Linked DNA regions of Oreochromis niloticus. The protein of the gene in region 1 interacts with the protein of each later gene in a pairwise test. Links are inferred from orthologs where the notes say so. Each region holds a gene or a part of one and is shown in the gene's direction. Other genes may lie near its edges.

The links.
Region 2: the proteins of pin1 (region 1) and supt5h interact in binary tests that used the Homo sapiens proteins (3 or more experiments, as listed by UniProt). The link is inferred for Oreochromis niloticus from reciprocal best matches to the Homo sapiens genes PIN1 and SUPT5H.

Annotation. Positions count from the first base shown.
Region 1 is NC_031971.2:12,301,542-12,308,695, forward strand, and holds the start of pin1 (peptidyl-prolyl cis-trans isomerase NIMA-interacting 1), read left to right. Parts: upstream 1-4,119; 5' UTR 4,120-4,239; coding exon 4,240-4,297; intron 4,298-7,154. Other genes in the region: ubl5 (ubiquitin-like protein 5), read right to left, coding at 2,003-2,046, 2,399-2,436, 2,522-2,605, 3,563-3,618. UniProt on the Homo sapiens protein: Peptidyl-prolyl cis/trans isomerase (PPIase) that binds to and isomerizes specific phosphorylated Ser/Thr-Pro (pSer/Thr-Pro) motifs.
Region 2 is NC_031979.2:38,112,781-38,120,740, forward strand, and holds the start of supt5h (transcription elongation factor SPT5), read left to right. Parts: upstream 1-4,924; 5' UTR 4,925-5,063; intron 5,064-5,262; 5' UTR 5,263-5,269; coding exon 5,270-5,356; intron 5,357-7,151; coding exon 7,152-7,311; intron 7,312-7,396; coding exon 7,397-7,462; intron 7,463-7,960. Other genes in the region: triap1 (TP53-regulated inhibitor of apoptosis 1), read right to left, coding at 4,001-4,225. UniProt on the Homo sapiens protein: Component of the DRB sensitivity-inducing factor complex (DSIF complex), which regulates mRNA processing and transcription elongation by RNA polymerase II.

The DNA of each region.
Region 1 (7,154 bases):
TAGTAATGGTATTACAACAGAGTTTTAGGCTTGGTTTGCTGTATATAGTGTGGTGTGTTTTGTTAGAAAGTACTGTATAAAGATTTAGAATATTATGTCACTTTTGACCTCTGACCTCTCCCTCAAGGTCAAAGTGATAATAATACAATGCAGAGCTATTGCAAACTTTCTTACTGCTATTGTTTGTATTGACAGCATATAGAGAATGATAACTGGGGATTGTAATTATCACATTACTTTGGACCTTTGATCTCTTTTTCAAGGTCAAATAAGGTAAAACTTGCCTTTTATTTTTAAAAATGATTCAAATTCTTATATTGGCTACAGTTTGGAAATGATACTAGTATATGGGGATTCTAAATATCTTCACATTTGACCTCTTCCCTCATTCGGCAGTTGTTGTCTTTCCACAGCTGTGCCACGACTGTCCCCTCATTCTTTTCTTTCTTTGATGCAGTTTTAGTAAAAGGTTTACATCAATGTCAGCTGTCAATGGCTAAAGCTCTGAAGTGTTGAGAGACACAATAGTATCCATGTCCAAGAAGACTGAGTCTATAAGTAAGGTCTCCATGGCAGCAGGATTTCGCTCTCACTCTGCCAAAAGTGCCGCTTCCACTTCAAACACGTTGGACGGCTTTGTTCAGTGCAGACATGTTCTTACACACCAAAGGAAAATGTTTGATTATGGGGCTGGTTTTGTGCCCACATCTGTATTGTAATGCTAAATCTGAAATCTAAAACAGAGTTGCGGGCCATGGCACTTCTCTGTAGTAGCAGCATTTATTTAGCTGCAACAAAGGTCAAAGTATCAATGCCACAGGCTTCCTGACATGTAGAACTTCTGCAAAAATAGTTTACACAATACACCTTATATGTATTCACACTGATGCAGTGAACAAGCAGGTGTTTTTTGTGCTATAGCTGTCTTATCTGATCAGTACACTACAGAAAGGTTTCTAAAATAAAAGTACATGTTAGATGCACAAAGGTCTTATAATTTCCTCTGAAATGTGGTCCAGTACGAGTGTAATGTGGTAAAGAATGGTTTAAAATATCGAGGTTAAACATATAGTGTACAGGGAGGTTTAGCGCTGGCTTTTCCCCCCCATCATTAAACAATAAAAGATACTTCAGAGTCAGCGCAATAGCTTTAGAAACCACCTTTTTTAAAACTAAATCATTAAACTTTGTTTCATACAAATTCCCCCTGGTTGCTAACCCCAGCTCTCAGTCTGAGAACTGCTGCCAAAGCTGATTAATCAGCCAGTATCATTTTTTTTAGTCCAAGCACTTTTTTTTGTTGTTGAAAACAGCATGCGTGTAAATCTAGCTTCTGCAATGCGTATATGCGATAAACTCATTAGCCATACTGGTCTTATGTACAGAGGTAAAGCTACGTCTAATTAAAAGTTTGTGGAGGAGTTGGAGCAGAAGGCCCCTAGAAAACCTGATGGTGTCCATTTGCCTCCACTGAAATTATTCATATACATCCCCACGTGAATGATGTTGGATGCACAGCCATAGGCAAATATCATTGCCAAGTTCCACTGATAAGTTTGTAGGTCCCATTGGCACCAATTAAACCCTTCTACTTACTACCACCAACATCAAAAGCAACTAACTCCATGTTTTTTTGCATGCTTTTGCCCAACACTTTACCTTCATCCAGTAAGCTGGAAAGCAAAGAGTAATTTGGAAAAGTGTTAGCGATGCATAAGGTTTCCCAGTCTCACCCAGTATGAGAAAATAATTAATGGACAAAAAAGACCAGCACTCACTCTCACAGTCAGGTAAATATCAGTTTTATTTCCAAAATATAAAAAAAAACAACAACAACATCTCTTTCACAAAGTGATTTGAGAGGAAAAATTAAAACTCCATTGTTGCTGTGTGACTGTCGCTCTCGCTCCATCTTGTTGTGTGAGACCTTCAATTGTGTGTGTGTGTTTGTAGCAAGAAACATCTTTACATCTGTACATCTGACTTGTAGTTCTCCTCTTGCTTACTGGTAGTACAGCTCAAGGTTCATCCCATCATGGATTTCATCTGGAGAGTTTTTGGTTAAGTGCAACAAGTGATCTGGATACAGCAGCTATCGGTTCTGCTGATTCTGAGAGGTACAAATTTACACGCATTACAAAAATGCTTCAGCTGTTTTAATTAGAGAAAAATAAGTGCTGCAGTTATCTTGATCTCTAAATCAATAAAAAACATTTTTTTACCAATTTAAACAATTTATGGATACATTCATGTTATGGATCATTGTGAGTGCAATAAAAGGAACTGCAGTTGTTCTGTGAGGGTGTAATAACGTCACGGTCATGATCATTATTAAATTAAAGGTAATGTAACTAAAACCACATAAGTACAACTACAGGAAAAACCCTTTAAAGGATACAGTCACCCAGAGACACGTGGTCCTTGAATATGGTGTACCTGTGGAAAACAAAGGACAACATTTAGGTCCAAATAGATGAGTTATTTGTCATCAAGCACATCAAATCCCATTTGAGCAGCTCACCATTTCTTTAGCACGATCTTATCATGCCGTGTTCCTGTCTGGGCAGCTATGAGCTTCTTCAGATCTCCGATGGTATCCTCAGAGCTGAAACACCGAAGTTAAGGAAGGAGCAGTGTAACAGCTTGGAAAACATCCAGAGCTTTAACAAATGCGTGGTTAAAAAAAATCTGAGTGTTGTCTGCTAGTATCATTTTGTTTCTTTTGATCTGCAGATGGACGGCGCAGCAGCTTTGGATGCTCTGCTTTCCTCAGTCAAAACACACAGGATGGCTAAAGTATTCTATCTAAACTGGTCCAACTCTCTCTGTAGCCCCATGACAGACTGCCTCCGAACCCATTATAGGCCAAAAACGTCTAACACTTGACCAAACAAGATCCCTTCAAGCTGCGACACCCAGAAGTTACTGAAAATCATCAGACTTTTAGTTGATTGTCAAGTGGCGTTCATTCAAGTGGTATTATATCTGCTGTCAAGTGATGGCAAATAGTGGCAAGCACCATTTTTAAACATCATTTGATGATAATAAACATAAATAGCGTCACATATTAAAAGGTAAAAGAACCTGAAAGACCAAAATGTAAGATACTGACTTTTTGTTTTTAATAAAGTTCACTTACAAGCTGAAACCTCAAATATGACTATTATAATAACCCACAGACTTTCAATTGTGGGTTTCTGTATTAACGGAATGAAATAAGTCATAAGAAGTAATCAGCATGGGTGCCAAGACAAACAGTGACACTGAATTTTAGTCTTCTAACATACTCCAGAAACTCACATGTTAATAGATTCATTGTAAAACTATTCCCCACACCATTCTATAATATAAATGGGCCTTACTTGCACCTTAAAATTAAGTCCATAATTTCAGAGCAGGGGTGCTGTGAAAGCAGATGCTGATGAATGCTGTACTGTTAAACATCCCGACTTATGTTAACTCATCTCAAGACATCCCAGATGTCCGCACCTAAAACATGATTTTGACATGTGTGCTGAGAGACAATATTCAGCATTATTTTCAGAGTTTCAGCAAAGGATACTTGCACTTGACCCGGACTTTCTTGCCTAGACGGTCGTTGCAAACCACTTCAATCATCTTTATGTCTGCAGAAAAGAGGAAGAGATGAGACAACGTTAGACAAATGAAGGTATTAGATTATAAAGTAGATGATAACCCTAGTGAGTTTATTTTATACAAGATTGGCTGGAAATCACAGCCACAGAAATCTAGTGAAATCAGCCAGGTTGTTTTGTTTAGCTAACGTTAGCTGTAGCTCACAACACCACGTTAATGTAAAACAAACGGGACTTATATTTAAATACACTCATGGGCAGCTTTATGAGGTCAAAATCCGAAACATTATGATACCGTATAAAAACCACACGTTGAAGCTGTCATCCTTACCTTGAACTGTACAGCAGAAAAAAACAATTATTTCCTTCGCTGATATTTTCTGGAAACCTCTCGGTCCTGCTTACCGTAAAGCTGGTTTAGTTGCGAATTCGCCTTCCTACCAATCAAATGAGGACTACGATGATTGGCGATCTCGCTAGACCTATCACAGAACAAAAACCCCACCAAAGGCGGACCTAATACTGAAAACAACTTGTACCATAAACATCAGGCCAACTGTCGTAATCTGCCTAGCTGCAGCTTGGTTCGTCACACGGCTTCTAGATTGAAATCAAATTTGAAAACGCTGCTGCAGAAAGCAACATGGCAGACGAGGAGAACCTACCGTCCGGATGGGAGAAAAGAATGAGCCGCAATTCAGGTGATAAAACACGAGCCACAAGAAGCTAAGTGTCCTAAATAGTGAGCTAAAGTGGAGTGTATAGTGAACTTAGCTCAGTAGCTAGCAACCTCAGCATCGTGCATTAGTGCTGAAACGAGGTTGGACTGACGTGTTTAATCACTGCAGTCTAAAAGCAGCGAGGGGTTAGTCGCTGCTGTCAATGTCTTTATTTAATGGTGGCGTTTTCTCAGCTTGTTTTAGGCACCTTAGCTTCATTATCGCGCCAAAGCTGATTCATTCAACCTGGCTGCGGCAGGGCCCTGCATGACGTCAGCCCGCCCCAGCGCCTCACCTGCAGATTGAACGAGTCCCAGCAGTAGGACGCTTTTCAGAATGCTAAACTTATGCGTCCTCTCTCCTCCCTCCTCACGTGACACAGGTTATCGTCATAGCTCTCGTGCTGTGGTGTTTTGTAAGGACCAGTCAATTCTAATACACACAGTTACACGGAGAAACACTAATATTTAATATACAATTAACTTAAATGTTTTAGTATCCCTCAAAGAAGCAAATTGCTTCAAAAAAAGAAAGCAGTTACTGTGAGGTGAACATTGCTGGGGTCGTTGCTCAAAGTCTTAAACATTACTTGTCACTTTTATTTATTTGTTTTTGTTTCATTTTGCATTACCTAATTACTCCCTGGAGAAAGTAATTTGTTAAACTACTCGTTATACTTTGCGTTACTCCACCGCAACATGACTGACAGCATGTTGTGATGCATTATAAGCCTTAGGCTACAGCCCCACACAGTGACTCAAACCCCTATCATAACAGAGGCCGTAAGATTTTATTTAATTTAATTTAATTTTTGTAGTGATAACACGTGGCAAAGTTGAAAACCAACTCAAGGAGCCTTCAGAACAACCACCACACCGATTCTACTGTAGAAACATGTACAGGTAGAAATGGAGGCTGGGCCTGATGGCTCATCACTCTGGCTGCTGACTAAGGGTCAGGATACACTGACTCTAGGTTCTTCACCGTGAAGATGTTTGTAAAGAGATGTTGCGTTAACAGTATAATGCAGCAGTTTCTGCTCTGGATGCAGTTTGCGATTCGTGATCTCATCCTTTCATGCAGTGAAATGGCCACATCGCCACTTCTCAAATGTTGTAAACTGCTCCACCATTTTCCTCCTCCCTGCAAAAATCTGAACTCACCTGACAGCAGCACAGGAAGAAAACTGCTGGTTTGATTTTTTTTTCCCCCTCTTTCAATCTGCCCATTGCTGAGATAATTGAATAACCTTTGCAAAGCAAATAGTGATGCAGTTGCTGAAATTAGTACAGTGATATGTTACAGTACTGCCTGTCTCAAAGAGTAATGTGATTACAGTACCTTGTTACCTTCTAGCCTGTTATATCAACGACTAATAACGATAAGTAAGGAAGTAACAATAACGCAAGTAAATTTTATTTATAAAAGGTAAATATTTGGAAGATATAAAATAAAAAATACTAATAATTGGTTATTTATTTTTTGTAGCATATCTAAAGATGGCACATGAGAGATTATTTTTATTTAAATTGGCCTATTAGAGATTTGAATGACTTTCAGACTTTGAAGGAGAAGCTGCTCTAAGCTTTGAAATCGTTCTTAAATGAGGGCTCGTGTGGGAGTCTGTGAGTTGGACAGGTGGCCCAGCTGTGCACCGTGACTCACTCTACACTGACGATGAAACCACAAAGTTCTCATTTAGCAACAGCAGCTCCTCCATCGACACGTACCTCCTTCACATCTCTCTGAGATGGCTAGGAAGAGCCGTCTCCTAGTGCTAGCAACTAGTTGCCAGCTAGTACTGGACAACAAGTTAATTGCTTTATATGAAGATGGAGCCTGACCAAAGGAAGAAAGGAGGCGTGCTTGAGTCATGGAAAGCACCCAAAGCATATAAAAGCTGGGCAGAGCCACTTTAATGTCACCCCGTGGTTTGTGGGCACCAGCTTTGAAACTTGCAGTGTGGCAGTTGGGCTTTCACCATCTTGGTCTTATGAAACCACACATGAAAATGTTAGCACTGCAAAAGAGGTGATCAGTGAACATTAGCGGTAGCAAGCTTGCATGTCAGAGCGTATACCATTTAACAGTTTACATGGATTATTTGCAAAGATAAAAACAGTCGAGCAGCGCAGTCAGCCTTTTGCTCAATGAGTCTCTAATCCTGAGGATAAACTCGAATTTCATGATGTTGGACTGCAGCTGGCAACAGTACCTGTTGTTCTTGCTGTTTAAGGTCGCAGGTCATGTTACAGTGATCCTTTCCATGTCCACTCCAGTATGGTGGATATGTTTCTGTTGAGAAGCAGGCTGACACAATGTCAAGCAAAACTGCTGCTATATAAATATGAGGTGTGAAGGTCCAGGGCTGGTTAGAAGGGGATTGGCCTAATAAATGAATCAGTGGTCCATGAAAACAGTCTTAAAATAAGAATTACTTTTAAAACAGAAGAAACCAAACAGTTGACTCAGTGTTTAAGTACGATCGAATGCTAAACTAGAGAAAGGTGCTTCTTTTAAAAGTGTATGGCCTCAGCAGCATTTTTTTTTCTTTTACACTTTTTTGCTGAAAGGCCGAGAAGGATTCAAAGGTGATTCTTCTATGAAGTCAGCCTGTGATATTTATTTTCTCCTGTGCAGATGGCCTGTAATGTCTAACATAAAAGGCTTCGATCATAGTTGTAAACTCACACAATAAGCTTTTTTTAGTCAGTTTTGGTCATTGTGGCTTTTTGATAGCATCTCTGATGCTCTTCTCTCATTACCTTTATTTACAGTCTTGGCAGGAAGCAGTTTGGTTGGTTTTTTTGTTTTTTCTTTTTTTCTTTTTGGCAGCTCA
Region 2 (7,960 bases), on another chromosome or scaffold:
ATCTTCAGGTTGCACTGGGTGAGCGTCCTTTTGCAGCCAAACTCAGCCGGCTCCTTTAAACCAGAGCTAATCAAAATGTGAGACATTGTTTCAGAGTGTGGCACGGGGGAGAGGGTATGGTGGGTGACTGGGGGCTGGGTGGGGGAGGGGGCTAGAAATGCTGTGCATTTACATAAATGGAAATGTACATAAATGGAAACAGCTGTGAATGCGGTTTAAGGCTCCAGAAAAGCCTGAAATTCGACCTCATGTTTACACATATTTAACTCGAAAATCAATGCAATATGTTTATTATCTGCCATTATATGCCAGCCATCCTGAATGCAGTGCCCGAGCCACCTCGAGTCAATGGTCCTCTTCCTCCTGGCCTCGTCTCCTAACTGAAGTCAGCACACGTGCATAAACATGGTCACTTATTCCAGGTATTGTCTCGGTTACTTGTCAGCAGATTAGACGTGTGACCCCTCCCTTCTTCTGCCAGCTGAATACAGGTGGCTAAACAACAACAGCTGCTTATACGCTAACATTACACCAGCTAATGTCGCCTCGAGCGTCCTACAAATGACACTTTCCATCTGATAAACAGTTTGATGACGTTCTCTCATCACATCAGTTTATTCAGTGTTGCAGTCCAACAATGTTAGATCCACTTCAGAGTTTCACTAATACCTGCTAACGGCAGCTAACAGAGGCTAACAGCAACAATAACAGCAGTGAAAAACATAGGTTGTGTCCAAATTCATGGGCTGCATCCTCCTGAGTGGGCCGGGTCCTCAGAAGGTCGGGTAAGCCGGAAGAAAACGGCTGTGAAATTGGACGGTCTAGCGTTCAGATTAACGTCACCGCTGTTTCAGTGTTGTTTAATAAACTCGGCCGTCTGCTCCTTGCTATCTAAAATATAACAGGACACTGGAGCAAACTCTCGATCATCTCACACTTCTGTTTAATCAGTTTTCTGTTTGACGTTTATTCAGCTGGAGGAACCCAACCGACGGATTAATAAAGTTTTATTTTATCTAATCTAATCTAATAACTTTAATCTCAGCCAAACCAATTTACTCACAAACAAATTAAACACTGAAAAAAGCCAAACAATAACATTTTTAGGTTGTCTAAGTGACTTATATGTTACGTTTAACCTGAGTGGCCAAAGACCGTGGTGATCTGAAAATGATGTGCCGGGAGTTGTGCCGTTCTCGGCGGCTCAAGTGACCCTCAAGCTCCTGACTAGCTATTGAGGTGGTGGGTAACAGACGTCTCTGAAAACGTCGGATTACTTTTGCAAATATGTGATCTCTTGATAAACCGAGCAGATATTTGAAGTTTACACAGCTACATTCTCGCCTGAAAATATCTTCAAAGTTTATTTTGTGACCCAGAAAGATTAATAAGAGTAATATTAAAAACTTAGTAGCGGCCGCCATTGTTGAAAACTGGAATTGGCTGGGCCGCGCTATGAATTCTGGGATACGGTGGGCCACGAAGGACACACCCGACCCATCCTTCAAATTTGGGGAAAAGGAGGACACATTTGTCGGCTGCATTTGGAGGAGTCTACAAATTTGGACAGCCTTCGGCGTGTCGCTGTGACGTAATTGGCCTATAAATGTGTCCTCAGGAGGATGCAGCGCATGAATTTAGACACCCCCATACATTCTTCATTTCCAAGCAAAGTTAATTAATTTATGTGAGTCAGGAAAGCTCTTGGAGTTTACATTGTATCCTGCATCCTTGGTAGGGTTGGACGTGCTTCATAGTGCAGACCTCTGAGGGATAAAACATGAAGCAAGCAGTGCTAGAAAAAGGGGATGATATGTACGGTGGTGGTAATCAGCTTTGTCTGTTAGGTCGTGCTCTTTGCTTCTGACTTCTACTTTTCCATCCAGTGAGCACTGAATCCACCTGTCAGAGACAACATGAGACGAACGGCTCCTTCAGTCCTGAAAAAGTTGGGAGTCTGTGTAAAATGGAAGCGCAAAACTCGCATTTTATTCACAACACAGGAAACATATCAGAAAAACAGAAAAATATTAGGTCATTTTGACGGCAGCAACTGTTCGGACAGCTCAATGAAAGAGTGGTAGAGCCGCAGTTACTAAGAAGAAACAGCTGGAAGGATCATATTGCAACTCATGAGCAGAAGCTCGCCAATCTACACAAACTGTGTCTCTTAACTGTGGAACAATTTCAGAACCGGCACATCTGGAAAGGCTCCATCAGTCCTGAAAGGTATAAACAGGTTGGAGAGCAACATCTGCTCCGTGCAGATGTGTTTCTCAGGAAGGCCTCTGACTGCATCTATTCCAGCCTCACGGCTTCAGAGGAACAGAGTCCGGCCACTGAACCGCCCGCCTGCAGTCCAGACCTCTGACCAGCTGACAACATCTGGAGCATCAAGAAAGCAACAAGAGGACGAAGCAGAGCCAGGACTGCTGAGCAGCTGGAATCCTCCATCAGTCCATCACAGACTGATGTTACAGAGCAAACATGGACCTGTCCTACTTTTACAGACGTGACTTGAAATCACTGCATTGCTTTTGTTTACATTTTACACAACAGCTAACTATTTTCTACTTCGGTTTGTATAAAGATGCTCAAACATTATAGTAAAATACAACAGTGGTGATAGAAATAACACACAGAGTAAGGCTGCAGAAAATCCTGGTGATGTAATAACCAGACACACTGCGGGGACTACAATAACAAAATTTATGGAACCTCCCTCTGAGCGCGCTCAGTGCTGCTGTTTATCTCTAACATTGCTGCTGGGAAACATTTAAACATTACCGCTCTCTGTCCCGCGGCCTCAAAGTAAACCACTTTAGTTTGTCGCCCAACGAGCCAAAGTGAAATCAATGAGCGAGTACGTTTTCTTCTTGATTAACAGCCTGCAGATGAAACTAAATTATTTTCTTGTGTTCTATTAGCATCAGTGAAGCTTGGCAGCAGATTAAGACCAAACATTAAAAAAACAAAACAAACTTTCTGCATCACCAGTTTGAACAGCTGCATTCATTTACTGGTGTTACTGGCTGGATGCATGCAGAGGACCAGTCAGTGTGGTGCTCCCAGCTGACTTTAAGCTCAAACTCTGAGCATTTGTCATGGTGAAAATAGAGCCACCTTCAGCGCACTGAAAACATTGACTCTGGCTTATGAACTCATTAAGCTCCCTCTGTCGAACACCCCCCACAAACCAAGCCCAGTACCAGGCAGTGGTTTGATCCCCGGCTCCACCGGGCTGGCAAGTCAGAGCATCCGGGGAGTAAGAACCCAAAGGATGGCGAGGTGACCGTCCACTGAGTGTGTGTGAGAGACCGAAGTGCTTTGAGTGCACAGCATGGGCCAATTCAGAACTCTGGTCATGTTTAATCTGAACATCCGTCGCAGGCACAGGAAGAATGAGACACAGAACTGGTCTCAACACTGAAAATACTCAGAATGATAAAGAATAACCTGCAGAAAAATAAGGAGAGACATCGACCCCACAAACCGCCTGCTGTTTGAGTAAAAACACACCATGTGCAAGAGTCCTGCTCCAACACCGAGCTCCCTTTAATTCATTTGTACAATGCAAGATTGAGTTTTGCACACATGACATTAGTCAGAAGAGTTTTCAGCATCACATCTTATTTTAGCTGTGTAAATGCATGGTTACAGGCTGCCACTGCTTCATAACGCGCACACAGGCCGTCATGGAGGAGCTTTAGCTGGTTAGTAATTGGATTCAGACAGTTTTAGCTCAGTTTCATGGCTGACAGCTGCTCCATCGGCCCTCTGGAGGAGAACCGGGCTGTAAGTGTCTCTGGTGAGAAAGGAAGTCCGAACAGAGCTGTGCAGTAAAAGAAAAGCTTATATTTAAGGAGACGGTCCTTTCAGGGGCCGCTTCACCCTCTAACCCCAGCGACAGCAGCTTGTCCGCTCCTGCGCATGCTCGGTGGGCCTCGTGGACCCCGCTCAGTGTGGTGTACATTTTTAGGATTTCCCCAGCAGTCCTCCATCAGCTCTCAGGCTTGTCCTTGTTGGGCCCCATGAAGTCCACGCCGTCGATGGGGATCTCCTTCTCCTTGATGGCCGCCTGCACGCAGCGCTGGTACTTCCGGAAGCTCTCCGTGCACGGGTCGCCGCTCCGGTCGCCCTTCAGGAACTTCTCGGCAAACCAGCGGTTGAAGCAGGTGTCGTACTCCCGCTTCAGCTCGGTACAGGCCTCCCCCACACTGTTCATCTCCGGGAACAAACACCGCTCGTCTCAGAAACGACAGAGGAGCGAAACCTGGAGGACCTACCTGCTGTTCCAACCCTGTCGGCGACAACGACATGCGCACTGTGACTCTCCTTGGCCTGCGCCATGTGATTGGCTGGTTTGGCGAAAAGTCGAACAGCGTATCTGCGTGTGGACGTAACAAAGATTTATGTAAAAGAGGCATTCACTCTGAGGAGAAATTATGAACTCGAAGTGTTTTAAAAATATATAGTTATATAATGTAAATATTTCAAATGTTGATCTATTTATTAAAATTAAAGGCTGACATAATCATTTGTGGCAAATAAGAATCATAAATAGTGTGTGGTTGTATGTTTCCTCTTCCGTTTTTCTTTGTAGCAAGTTTAAATTCATTATTTCTAACGATTTGTGTTGTTTATTTGTAGTTTTTATTTATTTGATTATTTTTAATAATTATTTTGTATGCATTTTCTCTAATAAAACAGCTTAGTCTCTAAACTGGAAAACTTAAAGATATATGTGTTTGGTTAATTTACTTATATGTACATATACGTATACTTTTTTACATTTATGAATTTTCTTAAAAAAAATAAAAAAAAAAACTTTAGCCGTTTGATAAATTGAAGAAACAAACGTGTTCTCAAAAACATGGCGGAGTGGCACCTCGTCAACGTTTACCTACCTATTGTGTGAAACCCCGCGAGAATTTTTGAGCAGCTTTCCGAAATCTCGTTGTTCCCCGAGAATACGCGAAGAATCATCAGAGACAGAAAGAAGCTTATATTCATATTTATTCATCAAAGATCTGGATTAAACCGGCTCCGTCTGGTTGAAGCAGGTAAGGAAGACCCGCGGAGCTCGTTATTTAAGCTCTGACTGCAGCTGCTGAAGAGGTTATTGGACCCTGCCTCTGTGCTATGCATTAGCCTCTCTTGCTTGGCCCTGCTGGTTGTTGTGGCCGCGCAGCCGGACTCGATTCAAACTTCACCGAGCTGCTTTGTGAATTTTTCCGTCGCTAAAAGTGCTTCTGTCCGCAGAGACGAGATGTCCGACAGCGAGGACAGCGACTTCTCCGACAACCAGAGCGAGCGCAGCAGCGATGGCGAGGCCGAGGAAGTGGAGGAGAATGAGGTGAGCTAGCCGGCAAGCTACGTGTGCTAACAGGAGGTAAACAGAGAGGAGAGCGCAGCTGCGACATGTGCGGTAGGATACCGAGGAAGAACGCAGTCAGACCTGCATAAAAACGGCACAATTTATAAGAAAAAGCTAAGAAACTTTATGGGGACAAACCCGGTCGTGTGTGTATGTGTGTCTTCTGTCTAATGTTCTTATTTATTCCGGTAAATTTGCTGCAGTCAACGGGATTTATGGCAGGACTATATATAAAATAAAGTAAATAACCAGTTCTATAAGTGACTTTATGACTGAGTTTTTGTACCTGCTCTGTGCCCACGTTATAATCCACGCAGTCCTCTTCAAATGTTGAGGCTCATTCTACAGATGGTGTATTAATAATGTGGTCACTTATTGACTTCCCATAAATGACAGCTTAATGTTTTTTCTGTTTTTGTCTGTTTTTGTACATTAACTTAAAGAGCTTTGGTGTTTTTGGCACCGGTGTTACTCCTGTGGCATTTTTAAAGGCTTTTATGAACTATTATTTCCCGAGTCACAGAGAAATAATGAATGTAATGCAGGAAATCAGGAGCTGATCTATTGTTTTCACTCTGGTTTGTTAAAGAGTGATCGTGTGATATTTTTGCAGCTGTTTATTTGGTACAATAGCGTGTTAAATATGACACACGTGATGTGTTAGAAATGAAACGTACAATAACACCAGTGACACAATGAGTCACGATCCTCCTACCGTACCAAAGGAGGATTAATAGTGACCAAAAACAGTAGTATTCTTTTGAATAAATGTTCATATTTAATGTAAAATAACTCCATAAATGCTGATGATAAAGTTTCTCTGCCCTCGGGAATCTGTGGTGTCACCCACAGTAACGGCTTGGCTCTTACTCAAAATGAAAGTAACACCTGTGAAAAATCCCTGCGTGGCATCAGACCACAGGTACTTTACTCTGTTTTTGTTTTTTTGTTTTTCTTCTGGGGGGTGGGGGTGGGGGTGGTGTTAGAGTAAAGTGGGTCACACCACCGACTTCAACTAAAAGAGAAAATTTCTGATAAATGAAAAGAGACACTGGACTTATCACAAGCAATTTTTTTTTTATAGAGCTTCAGGAAATAAGTAAAATGAAGTCGAGTGACATCACCACCGTCGTCTTTTGTTTTCTTACACAGTCATACTTTTGATTCTACTTTATATATTTATCGTATGTTTGATAGTTCCGTATATACGTTATTACATTTTAAATGGTTACAGCATCTCTTTGACTTTAAATCATAGCACTTACCTGCTGTATGTGCCTTTGGGCTCGAACACTTCGGTGGTGCTCGACTGCCATACAACTGCTTTAAAAACAAATGCTATTTTTATTTTAATGTAAAACTAAATGTCCTGTTTTATGTGTGATGTTTCTGTAAAAGCTGCCGTCTTCGACCAAACGCTCTAGAATATAACTCTTGAGTGTTCATGAGACTTTACCCAGATAAATAAAGGACGTGCAAATGTTACTTTACAAAAATGTCATTGCAGTTTCTACCGTCTGACGGGAAATTTGACTTAATTATTCATCAGAGATATTTTTGACTGACGATAGGCCAACAGCCTTAATGGCACCAAATTTCTGAGTGGAAAAATGTCAGATTTGCAGGGTCGGGGTCTCTGCTCAGATGATGCTCAGATCTCTGAGGCTGTGTTTATAAAAGATCCCTGGAAAAACGGAAGAACCGGAGAAGCAGCAGACTCTCAGAGGGGATGCAGGAGATTAATTTTCATCTGCTTTTGTCGTTGTGTCACCAGGAGGAGACGGGCAGCCCAGTGGGCAGTGACAAGGTAGCGGATGAGGAGGGGGAGGACCTGGAGGATGAGGAGGAGTACGACGAAGAAGAGGAGGAGGATGACGACGACGATCGTCCGAGGAAGAAGCCGAGACACGGAGGGTTCATCCTGGATGAAGCTGGTGTGAACAGATGACAGTCTCTCAGACTCCTTGTGATGATGATGATGATGATGATGCACGTCTGACCCTGTGTTTGTCTGTCCAGATGTGGACGATGAGTACGAGGACGAGGATCAGTGGGAGGACGGAGCGGAGGATATTTTGGAGAAAGGTAAGAAAGTGAAGATGAGAGCTGTTACGAATCCTTCAGCATGAGCTCAGATTTATTTTAAACTCCAGACTCGATCCCGAGGCTCCGATTGACGGATCGTGTCTGTTTAATCACGTTGCTTTTTTTAAACAGCACAAACTGGTTTCATCCATTAAACCCAGTGAACAGATTACTGAACGTGCCACACGATCCCAGTCTGCTAACAGCACACCTGCTGAGGTGTAACCTCAGCTTGTTTTCACGTTTGTCATCGAGCCGGGGAGGCGTCGCCATCCCGCCTCGGGACGCATCGCTTTTGTTTTTCTGCAGGTTCTTATTAAAGTCCGTGTTTCACACAGTGACGCTCAAAGAGTCCGATCGGTATTCAGCACAACCCAAACTGTTGTGATGTCGTTGCTTTGAGGACGGGGACGAGGTCCGCGTTAGTCGTAGCCCGTCTTCAAAGCGACTTTAGTGCATCAGGGCGGCGCTAAAATGGCAGTGAGCTGCTGTGTGTTT